Saccharomyces cerevisiae S288C: one gene and its partners. Changing the gene in region 1 together with any one later gene gives a genetic interaction. Each region holds a gene or a part of one and is shown in the gene's direction. Other genes may lie near its edges.

The links.
Region 2: mutations in PDC6 (region 1) and DSE2 together harm fitness more than expected from each alone (negative genetic interaction), as found in Saccharomyces cerevisiae (one large-scale study listed by BioGRID).
Region 3: mutations in PDC6 (region 1) and MPH3 together harm fitness more than expected from each alone (negative genetic interaction), as found in Saccharomyces cerevisiae (one large-scale study listed by BioGRID).

Annotation. Positions count from the first base shown.
Region 1 is NC_001139.9:650,524-655,193, reverse strand, and holds PDC6 (indolepyruvate decarboxylase 6), read left to right. Parts: upstream 1-2,212; coding exon 2,213-3,904; downstream 3,905-4,670. Other genes in the region: CTT1 (catalase T), read right to left, coding at 1-560; lipid-binding protein PIL1, read left to right, coding at 4,577-4,670. UniProt on the Saccharomyces cerevisiae protein: Minor of three pyruvate decarboxylases (PDC1, PDC5, PDC6) implicated in the nonoxidative conversion of pyruvate to acetaldehyde and carbon dioxide during alcoholic fermentation.
Region 2 is NC_001140.6:383,293-387,154, forward strand, and holds DSE2 (Dse2p), read left to right. Parts: upstream 1-2,217; coding exon 2,218-3,195; downstream 3,196-3,862. Other genes in the region: CHS7 (Chs7p), read left to right, coding at 246-1,196.
Region 3 is NC_001142.9:737,341-742,165, reverse strand, and holds MPH3 (alpha-glucoside permease), read left to right. Parts: upstream 1-2,349; coding exon 2,350-4,158; downstream 4,159-4,825. UniProt on the Saccharomyces cerevisiae protein: High-affinity uptake of maltose and maltotriose. Also transports alpha-methylglucoside, glucose and turanose but not melezitose or trehalose.

The DNA of each region.
Region 1 (4,670 bases):
TGATGGATTGATTCCGGATTCAATGTTAGATAATCCCAGTATATGGTAGTGTCCTGAAACTGATTCAGATGAGACTGAGGGTCTCTCTTTTGCGAATGAATAAATACGGGAAACTTAATAGCGTCTCTGAGGAAGAAGACGGGAGTATTGTTGAAGACCCAGTCATGGTTCCCCCACTCGGTATAGAATTTAAAAGAAACACCTCTTGGGTCTCTTGCAGTGTCTGGTGTACCACTTTCACCACCAACGGTGGAAAAACGAACAAGACCAGGACATTTGTAACCCACATTCTGGTATGGAGCGGCGTATGTAATATCACTCAAAGAATCTGTTAGTTCGAACTCCAGTCTACAACCACCACCTTTGGCATGGACTACACGCTCCGGAACTCTTTCTCTATCGAAACTTGCAATATTTTCCAGCAGATGGAAGTCTTGCAGTAAGATAGGGCCGTCTGGTCTTGAGTATTGAGAAGCGTATGGGTGATGAGAGTACGGAAAACCGTTTTGTAGAGAGTAAACTTTTTCTTGCTTTTCTTCTTTTTTACCGAACACGTTCATTTGTGAAGCTGAGCTGATTGATCTTATTGGCATGAGACAAGAGAAGGATTTTTTTAATAAGGGCAAGTAACGACAAGATTGAGTTCTGGAATAGAGGTAAAGCAACGACTTCTTATACGTGTAGCAGTAGGGGATACGATAAATGCACAATGTGTCCAGGCTACGTCGAATCCTTACAAATTCTACCTGTTGAGGGAGTCGGGGGCATTATCGGCTAGGCTAGCCTGCAGCCAGAGGGTGAAGTGAACTATACTTTTTCAGCATACGAATAGTACTGGCAATGACAATAATAACCCTTCTGGATCGGCGACGTACTCATCATTGATAGGAGGAAACAATACGCAATTTCACCGCTTGGCCCCTTACCGGTGATCCCCTTGAAAAAGAGGGCCGTCCGCGGTCTTGGCTTAGGGTCTCTGTGAAAGCACGCAGGAGAGCTGCTCAACGCGGAATGGAGATAACGGAGGTTCTATCCCCATGTGCCTCGTCATCGGTTCCTCATCATCTCTGGCTTCTTGAATTCGTTTTATTGTCACCATACAATAAGTTTGACGTCGTGAAGGCAGTTTAGTTCTCGGACTTGCAACCCCTAATCTTCAACGTCGAAAATACCTTATGACGCATATTTTAATTTTCCATCTCGCAACTAATGCTACCCTATTTTCTCTTACCAGCGAACACAATTCAAAAATTCTTAATGTTTAGCAGCTCATGCTGATATCGTATTACTATTATTACTGTGGTCATGCTAAAAAGCTGACTTATTCAATTTAATTTTTTTCTTTTCTTTTATGTTTTGATAGACAAAGGTTTTTTTTTACCTAAAATTCCTCTTTCCTCACGGACCATACGATTAAAATCATGGAAATTAAGTATTACAGTCGGTAATTTCTTTCTGGTTTTGTAAAGCCTGAAAAAATATACTAATATAGTGCAGGCGATCGTACATCTTCCAAGCATCTCATAAACCTATGCACTGTGGATTCTATGTACTTGGCAATAGATGAGCATTTCAATGAAGGAAACGCCTGAGTCAGTTATGTAAAAAGTACTACGTACGGACCAATCGAAGTGTGTAAGAGAATGTGACATCAATTGTTGTTGCATTATGTCCATTGGAATATGCAGATCGGCTGTGGCATTTGGCCAAAATGTTATAGAGTTCACACCTTATTCACATACTTTTTCATTTTCTGTGGCTTTCAAGGGTGGGGGCGGTAGTGATAACCATTCTCTAAACAAAAGCCCATGTCCCACACCAAAGGATGTTTTTTTATATCACGTTCCCTTTTCATAAAACACAAAAGAACGAATACTTTTTAAGCCGAATGAGTGACAGAAAAAGCCCACAACTTATCAAGTGATATTGAACAAAGGGCGAAACTTCGCAAAAAAAAAAAAAAAAGAAAAAGATAGTGTAGTAGTGATAAACTGGTGCTTCAATTTCTTTTTATGAATTGATCTGTATCTGCACCTAGATCGATTTGATTACAGGATAAGGGATATGGTGCGATTCGCGAGCTTTTACCAATATGTATAAAAGGCGGCTGTTTGAAGCCATTCTATCTTAATCTTGTGCTATTGCAGTCCTCTTTTATATACAGTATAAATAAAAAACCCACGTAATATAGCAAAAACATATTGCCAACAAAATGTCTGAAATTACTCTTGGAAAATACTTATTTGAAAGATTGAAGCAAGTTAATGTTAACACCATTTTTGGGCTACCAGGCGACTTCAACTTGTCCCTATTGGACAAGATTTACGAGGTAGATGGATTGAGATGGGCTGGTAATGCAAATGAGCTGAACGCCGCCTATGCCGCCGATGGTTACGCACGCATCAAGGGTTTATCTGTGCTGGTAACTACTTTTGGCGTAGGTGAATTATCCGCCTTGAATGGTATTGCAGGATCGTATGCAGAACACGTCGGTGTACTGCATGTTGTTGGTGTCCCCTCTATCTCCGCTCAGGCTAAGCAATTGTTGTTGCATCATACCTTGGGTAACGGTGATTTTACCGTTTTTCACAGAATGTCCGCCAATATCTCAGAAACTACATCAATGATTACAGACATTGCTACAGCCCCTTCAGAAATCGATAGGTTGATCAGGACAACATTTATAACACAAAGGCCTAGCTACTTGGGGTTGCCAGCGAATTTGGTAGATCTAAAGGTTCCTGGTTCTCTTTTGGAAAAACCGATTGATCTATCATTAAAACCTAACGATCCCGAAGCTGAAAAGGAAGTTATTGATACCGTACTAGAATTGATCCAGAATTCGAAAAACCCTGTTATACTATCGGATGCCTGTGCTTCTAGGCACAACGTTAAAAAAGAAACCCAGAAGTTAATTGATTTGACGCAATTCCCAGCTTTTGTGACACCTCTAGGTAAAGGGTCAATAGATGAACAGCATCCCAGATATGGCGGTGTTTATGTGGGAACGCTGTCCAAACAAGACGTGAAACAGGCCGTTGAGTCGGCTGATTTGATCCTTTCGGTCGGTGCTTTGCTCTCTGATTTTAACACAGGTTCGTTTTCCTACTCCTACAAGACTAAAAATGTAGTGGAGTTTCATTCCGATTACGTAAAGGTGAAGAACGCTACGTTCCTCGGTGTACAAATGAAATTTGCACTACAAAACTTACTGAAGGTTATTCCCGATGTTGTTAAGGGCTACAAGAGCGTTCCCGTACCAACCAAAACTCCCGCAAACAAAGGTGTACCTGCTAGCACGCCCTTGAAACAAGAGTGGTTGTGGAACGAATTGTCCAAATTCTTGCAAGAAGGTGATGTTATCATTTCCGAGACCGGCACGTCTGCCTTCGGTATCAATCAAACTATCTTTCCTAAGGACGCCTACGGTATCTCGCAGGTGTTGTGGGGGTCCATCGGTTTTACAACAGGAGCAACTTTAGGTGCTGCCTTTGCCGCTGAGGAGATTGACCCCAACAAGAGAGTCATCTTATTCATAGGTGACGGGTCTTTGCAGTTAACCGTCCAAGAAATCTCCACCATGATCAGATGGGGGTTAAAGCCGTATCTTTTTGTCCTTAACAACGACGGCTACACTATCGAAAAGCTGATTCATGGGCCTCACGCAGAGTACAACGAAATCCAGACCTGGGATCACCTCGCCCTGTTGCCCGCATTTGGTGCGAAAAAGTACGAAAATCACAAGATCGCCACTACGGGTGAGTGGGATGCCTTAACCACTGATTCAGAGTTCCAGAAAAACTCGGTGATCAGACTAATTGAACTGAAACTGCCCGTCTTTGATGCTCCGGAAAGTTTGATCAAACAAGCGCAATTGACTGCCGCTACAAATGCCAAACAATAAGCCATTAGTAGTGTACTCAAACGAATTATTGTTGCAAATAAATAAACTTACACAGTTTGAATACATAAATCAATCAGACAAATAAATACATCGGTTCAAATTATACTAAATCTAAATACTACGTTATCGCCGTGAATTACGCAATTCGCATGTTACGTACTGCGCGTCTCTTGTTGAATATTTACCAATTGGGAAAAAGAACTCGTATTTCATTCCCCTTTTTGGAAAGGGGTGGGGAGAGACTGTTGTTCAGCCACGTCAATTATTATTTTTTCTTTGGCCCTGCGCTTGTCTTATAAAATTCCGCAGCCGCCTCTTATTTTTTTTTTTTTCGATTTTTGGCCCACAGGTCATATTGCAAAAACCGAATGGCCGCGCCCCCCTCACGCACGGGACGGAAGAAGGGCGGCGTCCCCTGTTTTTCTGCTTTGGCTCATCTCTTTGGCTCCGACGGACGAAAGACGGGATTCCCCCTCCCGTGTCTTTTTATAAATAACAAGTGCTCATTCTGCATCCTTCCTTGTTTCCCGTCGTTTGGGTACAATGCGTTGATTATCCCAACCCAAGAAAGAAAATTTGTCTCACATCTGCATCTGCACATTTATTTACCTATACTTTTCCATTGTTAGCAGTATTGCAAAGTGAAGAATATATCAGCATCAAGTATATAGTATGCACAGAACTTACTCTTTAAGAAATTCCAGGGCACCTACCGCCTCTCAATTACAGAACCCACCGCCACCACCATCTACAACCAAAGGTAGAT
Region 2 (3,862 bases), on another chromosome or scaffold:
GCTTCGCTTTCTTAAAACGGTTAAATATTGAAAAAGTTTCACAAGACACGAAATCAAAAAGGATCCATTTTGGTATAAAAATAGCATATTGCATAACTTAACTAAAAAGATTAAAAAAAGTCAAAGCTACACTGGCATACTTTGAACTGTTTTTTCAAAGCTGTCTCCACGTGGAAAGTTTATTTCATCAAAACTATTATCAAAAATTGTGGTTTTGTTAATACAAAAGCTGATATATATATAATATGGCATTTAGTGATTTTGCTGCCATATGCTCAAAGACCCCGTTGCCATTATGTTCGGTAATAAAGTCTAAAACCCATCTAATACTTTCGAACTCAACAATTATACATGATTTTGATCCTTTAAATTTGAATGTCGGTGTACTGCCACGCTGTTATGCTCGGTCGATTGATCTTGCCAATACAGTCATCTTTGATGTCGGGAACGCATTCATAAATATTGGTGCTCTAGGTGTCATTTTAATCATACTTTATAACATAAGACAGAAGTATACTGCTATTGGCAGGTCTGAATATCTCTACTTTTTCCAACTAACATTGCTATTGATAATATTTACCTTGGTGGTAGACTGTGGTGTATCTCCCCCCGGCTCTGGGTCATATCCATACTTCGTGGCTATACAAATAGGACTGGCGGGTGCATGTTGCTGGGCCTTATTGATAATCGGGTTTTTAGGTTTCAATTTATGGGAAGATGGGACTACAAAGTCCATGCTGTTGGTCCGTGGAACGTCCATGCTAGGATTCATAGCCAATTTTTTAGCCTCTATTTTAACCTTCAAAGCATGGATCACCGACCATAAAGTAGCAACAATGAACGCTTCAGGGATGATTGTCGTCGTTTACATAATAAACGCCATTTTCTTATTCGTTTTCGTTATTTGTCAATTACTGGTATCCCTATTGGTAGTTCGAAACTTATGGGTCACAGGAGCTATCTTTTTGGGGCTATTTTTCTTTGTAGCAGGCCAGGTATTGGTTTATGCCTTCTCTACACAAATTTGTGAAGGGTTCAAGCACTACTTAGATGGCCTCTTTTTTGGAAGCATCTGTAATGTGTTCACATTAATGATGGTTTACAAGACTTGGGATATGACTACCGACGACGACTTGGAATTTGGTGTAAGTGTTAGCAAGGACGGTGACGTGGTGTATGATAATGGATTTATGTGAAATGCTTCTTTTTTCTATTACCATATATAGAAAATAGGTGTATACTATTAGTTTAATGTAATAAGCAGGACTATGACAAACCAAAGAGTGAAAGTAGCCGTTTCCACGTTTTAACGGCTTGTGTACACTTTGACAGTCAATCAGCGTAGTGACTTCTTTTATCAGCGGAAACAACCATATCCATAAAAGAAACGTGATGGTCGTTCCCGTAGTTTATTAAGTAAGATGACAAATTATCCTTCTTTAGTCAATTGAAAACAAAACTTCTTAATCTGTTTCCAATGTTTTAAAGTCGCTCATATGTTCATGACTACTTTTCCATGAGAGGGTTCTACGAAAAGCATCATCTTATTTTCGCAACGCTGCGGGTTTAGGCCTTTCCGCTGGTCTCTTTTCTGTTTACAGTTCTGCCCGAATGTAAACAAATACTTTGCGAAAAGTAAATAATGTATTCTGAAAAAAAAAAAGAGAACTGTGAACAATGCTTGATAGTTGTAGGAATATCTTAGAAGAAAGGGGATAGATTATCTGGAAAATCGTTTGAATAAAATAAGAACCAGTAATTCATTCGTTTAAATTGGAAAAACAAAACATAAAAGAACCAGCAATGTCTTGGTTGCCTGTTAATGTAAAAAGTTCTCCCAAAAGATGACAGGAAACTCGTTAACTCATACTCGGTATATAAGAGGAAACTTATCTAATGTTTCATTCATTCTTCCTCTTCTGCTTATTCGATGTCTATTGAAAAACTTCAAGTAAACCAGCAATATCGACTTCCATTAAGTAGACAGCGAGCCTGAAACAAAGAATATACTGTTTCAATTCCAACTAAAGCCACTCCCTCAAGCGTTATTATTTTTTGAATTATATTTTCGGGTTTTAAGCTAACTCTAGTCATTCCTTACTACATTTTATTGTAACTCTTCAGTAGAGCTAACCACAGTCATTCCTTAATATTTTTTAACACAGATCTCTTTCACAGAGTAGAAATAAAGCCACTCCTTTAACAAATTACAAAGAAATGAAATTTAATTTTTCTACAATTTTCAATATCTTATTCTTTTTATTCACCTTAATTGAAGCCAACAGCAATGGGGAAACAGTCAAACTTATTACTTCTGATGGTATTGTTTACAGTTATGCTGTCTACACAAAGACTCTTGCGCCGGCAAGGGTTGTGGTTAAAACGATTTCATATACTACTACAAGGGTATATCCGATTACTTTAGCTAATTCCGTCGTTTCTTCCACTACTGAAAAGATAACAGAGGTTTCAACGGTGTCAGCTTCAGAACAAGTTAGTGCTACTCAAACAAACTCATTGGTTTCTACTTCTACTGTTTCCACTATCAGTCCAACGATTTCATCTGGTTCTTCAACATCCTCTAGCTCTACATACGATATCGAATCATCTCAAAGTATCGAATCGTCAGGTACATCTTCCGCTACAGCCGAACCATCTGCGTCTTCAGGTTTTCGTTTGACTTCTAGTTCTGCTTTTGTTTCATCTACTGCACCTTTCTCTTCCCAACTTTCTTCATCTTCATCTTCTGAAACATCATCCTCATCATTTTCAACATCATCATCATCTGCCCCTCTTTCCTTAACTTCTTCTTCTTCTTCTTCTTCTTCTTTCGCCACTATTATTACCTTGGCACCATCGAGCTCAAAAAGCGGAAACTCTCAACTAACTTTGGCGTCATCGTCTTCCACTTCCGCAGTTGAGTCATCCCAAACAGGGTCCACTATAGCAAGAACTACCTCTACACTGGTACCCTCTTCTAGCGTAGATACAACGTCTAGAGCAACGACATCCATGCCATTAGAATCGTCTTCTACGCAATCGATATCCGTCTCCAGCTCGGATGGCACTTGTTACGTTTTTTATGATGATGATGACTACTATAGTACTGTCTACTTAACTAACCCGTCTCAATCCGTTGATGCCGCCACCACTATAACTAGTACAAACACAATTTATGCTACGGTTACCATTTAGCGCTTAGGCATAATGGTGGTGCATTCTTTTCTATTTGTTTTCTCAGGCGTATTTTTTCCATTATTTTTTGTTAAAAATAGTAAAAAGACAGTATTATTTATTCATTTTTCCTCGTGTTGTTATAACGACTAAGTTTCCTAATTTCTTTATTTTGTTTTTTTCTCATGATCTTTTCATTTTGTAGTTTCAACTATTATATACAATGTGTATACTATAACTTAATTTTATTAGTTACCTCTTACTAAGGATACTGATTCTTCCCCACTCATTTCATGAATTCATCACAAGTCTTTAGTATTTTTCATATGGAAATTACATCACCTATATATATCAAAATGTTCCGGCGAGTACATTGTCAGAATCTACAGTTTTTCCTGATATGAGCAGTGATATGGAGAAAGAGACACTAAATAAGAACAAAATATTGCCGTAGATTTAATGATTCAATCATGTGTGTCAAATTTGTTCTCCATTGCATCTTCCTATTTGACATTTGTCTCATGACCACGACATTGTACATTACCAGGTAAGGCTACAATTAGCCTCACCGATGTAACGTTATATAACGCTGCGGTCGTAGAATATGATTTTTCTGAATTTTAATTTTTTTTTTTTTTTTTTTCATTTCTTTAACATCTAAAATAGATTTTAGAATCAGAAAAGTGAA
Region 3 (4,825 bases), on another chromosome or scaffold:
TTTCGAGTGGGTTAGTTACACTAGGTGAAGGATCGTTTGCCTCCATATGGTCAAGCCATTCACGGACATTGATAATAGCTGGGACAATTCTGGTTTCATAAAAGGTTTCATTCATCCAGATTACAGATGCATTCAAATAATAGTCGCCAAATACTGATACCTCATCAAAATGAAAATATGTTTCTAACGGAACTGTATTAGACCATGCGCTCAGTTAGCTGGAGTCGCGTTGGTTAACAAATTAACTAAATTCACCATTACTTTACTTAAAGACCTATCACCACAAAGGAAATGGCGATTCTACAACAGGACCAGCTTCACTGTTTTTACCGTTGATTTAAAGATCACCTTTTGACTATTTTATATGCCAATTCAGAAACCGTTATAATAGAAGTTTTCTACTACAAAATTTACAGGATGTTGTAGCTTGATTGCATAATATTTTTTTAAAACGGATAACCACCAACCCTCGTCAGTGACTTCCCATTATGAAAATTTTCTCTTCTAATCCTTTTTGGTACCCTTTTTCCTATCATGCGCCTCGAAACAACTTCCATAGTACGTGCCTGCTACTGTGAGTAGTTTACTGCCGCAGTCAAACACTATACTGATTCAGCATCCATCAGTAAGTGCGCGCTAAAACGACAACTTTTTCGTACCTTTACAAGTAAGGAGTGGTTAAGGTGTATAGCTCATACTAGATATTAAACTTCGGAGAAAAGTCCCTGTTTCAATGACAAATATGAGTTGCACAATAGAATTTTTATATCTATGATTACGCTTGGTAGGATGAAACTCTTAAATTCCGTTATAAGTTTTATAAATCGCCGTAATTGCAAAAATACAGGGTGATGCGTATAAGTCTCATAAAAATCAAATCATTCCCTCTATTGCAACCATATCAAATTTTGATGATGATTATTTTACAATTTTCATTGCCATGGATGAAAATAAACGCTGATATCTTTATAATTAACCCGGAATGGAAATTGTGCACAGTACATCAATGGCGTTTCGAGTATTAAGACCTGTGATTTAGAGCCAATTAGCCAAGTAAAGCGACATTTCCTTTCTATGTTTGGCATCTTTTTTTTTTGGCCTTAAAACAGTGTTTCTATAAAATTAAGGGCCAACTCTTACAATAGTAATGAGATTAATAAGGCCCAAAGAATATTTTGGCCATTTCTTTTTCGTACAACCATATAGTTTTCTCAAGTAGCGACGAAAGAGAGATAACTGAAACAAAATGTCATGGAAGAAGTGCTTATATTAAAAAATCTATGTCGGAAATATTTCTATAGGGAAAAGTATACTAAAATCTTACTCGAGCTTTGAAATGAACAAGCCTAAACCGCCCAATTCCAAGATCTTTAATATACTATAACTTGAAAGTCATACCTGTTATATCACTCCAGAGGTTATTGTGGGAGCATATTTAATGCTTTGTGGGTAAGCTTGATAAACTGTAGTTCTACCACTTTTCCCAGGATACTGATTATGGTAAAAGTTCTTATTTGTCTTACGACTTAGATTTAGCACTCACATTTGTCATCATATGTTGAAAAATCAAGCTGGAATTTATTGGTGGATCTTTCATCTCCATTTATACTTTTTACTTGTTTTTCTCCAAGCAAAAAGATTTCACGTTGTTCGGGAGGTAAATATGAAGTAGGAGAGCAGTCAGGTAGAGTGGTTATCCCATCAGCCAGAACCTGTCCGTAAACAGGTTGTGGACTACAGTATGTGTGTTTTTTTCTTTCTAATTACTCAATTTGGATATTTTGGTGACTATAAAGACCTCTCGTAAATTTCTGAAAATATGCTTCGGTTCGAATCTGTGGTCTGCAGTGCAGCGTGTTGGTATTTTACCGACAGTTTTAGCGAAATATGTATAGATCTGTCACGCTTGCAACATCGCGACAGGTCGATATACTAAAATTACAGCATGAATTTCTGATCTATAATCACACTGTTGCAGTTTCCAGAGAGTCAATCATATTAAGTCCTCAGTTTGAATCAATGTTGGCTTTGTTCTTCTGGAGAGGAATCAGCTCGTTATATGTTTGTCTTTTTCTCTGCTCGAGAGTCATCGCGACATTCCACACCCCGCGTTTTACGTGCACAGAATCTTTCGTAGAAGGGAGCATTTGACATCCTGTCAGCCATATGCAATGAGTATGCCACAAGTTCATGATAGTGTTGACTATAGAATATAAAAAAAAGGTGGGGTCATCTGTAATCGTTGTTTGTAATTCTTAGAGGCCTGTTCTTGGAATTATTATGCAAAGATTACCATCACAAAATCTAACACAAATAGAGATACAGGTCTTGTAAAGCCATTACCTAGCTATGAAAAACTTATCTTTTCTCATAAACAGAAGAAAGGAAAATACAAGTGACTCGAATGTATACCCAGGAAAGGCTAAGTCGCATGAACCCAGCTGGATAGAAATGGATGATCAAACTAAGAAGGACGGCTTAGATATTGTTCATGTTGAGTTCAGTCCGGATACAAGAGCGCCAAGCGATAGCAATAAAGTAATAACAGAGATATTTGACGCTACTGAGGATGCCAAGGAGGCAGACGAAAGTGAAAGAGGAATGCCACTTGCGACAGCATTGAATACATATCCCAAGGCAGCAGCTTGGTCACTATTGGTCTCTACAACTTTAATCATGGAAGGGTACGACACAGCTATTCTTGGAGCTTTCTACGCCTTGCCTATTTTTCAGAGAAAGTTTGGCTCACAAAATGACAAAACTGGAGAATGGGAAATTTCAGCGTCATGGCAAATCGGGCTGACCTTATGTTATATGGCAGGTGAAATTGTGGGGCTACAGCTAACGGGGCCCTCCGTGGATCTTGTTGGAAATCGTTACACATTGATTATTGCATTGTTTTTTTTAGCTGCCTTCACTTTTATACTGTACTTTTGCAATAGTTTAGGCATGATTGCTGTGGGACAAGCATTGTGCGGGATGCCATGGGGTTGTTTTCAGTGTTTGACGGTGTCTTACGCTTCTGAAATATGCCCATTGGCTCTGAGATATTACCTTACAACCTATTCAAACTTGTGCTGGTTATTTGGACAACTTTTTGCAGCTGGAATCATGAAAAATTCTCAAAAAAAATATGCGGATTCAGAATTAGGATATAAACTACCATTTGCCCTACAGTGGATTTTGCCAGTTCCTTTAGCACTGGGAATTTTTTTTGCACCTGAATCTCCATGGTGGCTAGTTAAAAAAGGAAGGTTTGATGAGGCAAGGAGATCACTTAGAAGAACTTTAAGCGGCAAGGGACCTGAAAAAGAAATACTAGTAACTCTGGAGGTGGACAAAATAAAAGTGACTATAGATAAGGAAAAGAGACTCACAAGTAAAGAAGGCTCCTATAGTGATTGTTTTGAAGACAAGATTAATCGAAGAAGAACGAGAATTACTTGTCTCTGCTGGGCTGGTCAAGCCACTTGTGGTTCAATACTAATAGGTTATTCAACTTACTTTTACGAAAAGGCTGGCGTTAGTACTGAAATGTCCTTCACTTTTAGTATTATTCAATACTGTCTCGGTATTTGTGCTACATTTCTATCTTGGTGGGCGTCAAAGTATTTTGGTAGATATGACCTTTACGCTTTTGGACTAGCCTTCCAAACCATTGTTTTTTTCATTATTGGCGGTTTGGGGTGCTCAAGTACGCACGGTTCCAAAATGGGAAGTGGTTCTCTTTTAATGGCTGTAGCATTTTTTTACAATTTAGGAATTGCCCCGGTCGTTTTTTGCCTAGTCTCTGAAATGCCATCTTCAAGACTAAGAACGAAAACAATCATTCTAGCACGTAACACTTATAATGTGGTCAGTATCATATGTAGCGTTCTCATCTTATACCAACTGAACTCTAAGAAGTGGAACTGGGGCGCTAAGTCAGGCTTTTTCTGGGGTGTCTTATGCTTTTGTACTTTAATCTGGGCTGTGGTTGACCTACCAGAAACTGCCGGAAAGACTTTCGTGGAAATAAATGAGTTATTTAAACTTGGAGTTTCTGCAAGAAAGTTCAAATCGACGAAAGTAGATCCGTTTGTTGTCAAAACCCCCCCTAAAGACGTCTCTCATAACGACCCCAAGGGAGATATCGAAGCTTCCATTGCAGAGGAATAGCAATGTATCCCATCACTTATGAGCTAATGAACATTTATCGACACAGGTAAATAGGTAACTATGGTATTTACTCTACATGTTACGGAGTATAATACACGTAGATTTGTTTCTTCCTCATATTCCCATGACATGTCTCAGTAATTGAACTCAAAGTAACATTTAGCTTTCTTCTTGATCATTGCGTTTGGAAATGTATAGTTAGAGAAAAGATTCTTTCTCATCCGAGTATGGCGCGTGAAGAAAATGAAGATGGAGTTGTCGAAACAAATGGTCATCGACATTAGTTTAATTGTCATAGTAACAGTCTGGGCACTCACTTCGTACATCCCTTATACATTTAAGTGCAATTTTACCTATTCTAAAAATAGAAAAAATCTCGAATGAGCAGTTCTGGCAGTACTGAAACTGAGTTAAAAATCTATCAACTGGAAGTAATGCGGTAGTTTTATATATGAGCAATATATGCCGTCAAATTATATGTACAGTAGCTACCAGAGCGGTTATTATATTGTTCTTAATCAATAATAAACAAATCAGAGTATATTTCATAATTTCCTCTTACATTTTTAAGAAAAAAGGGTAACATTTATTCCTCATTGATCCTATCTTTCAATCCTAATAAGCGACAATATTCTTAGCATATACGGGAGAGTTGCTCTCACTCATA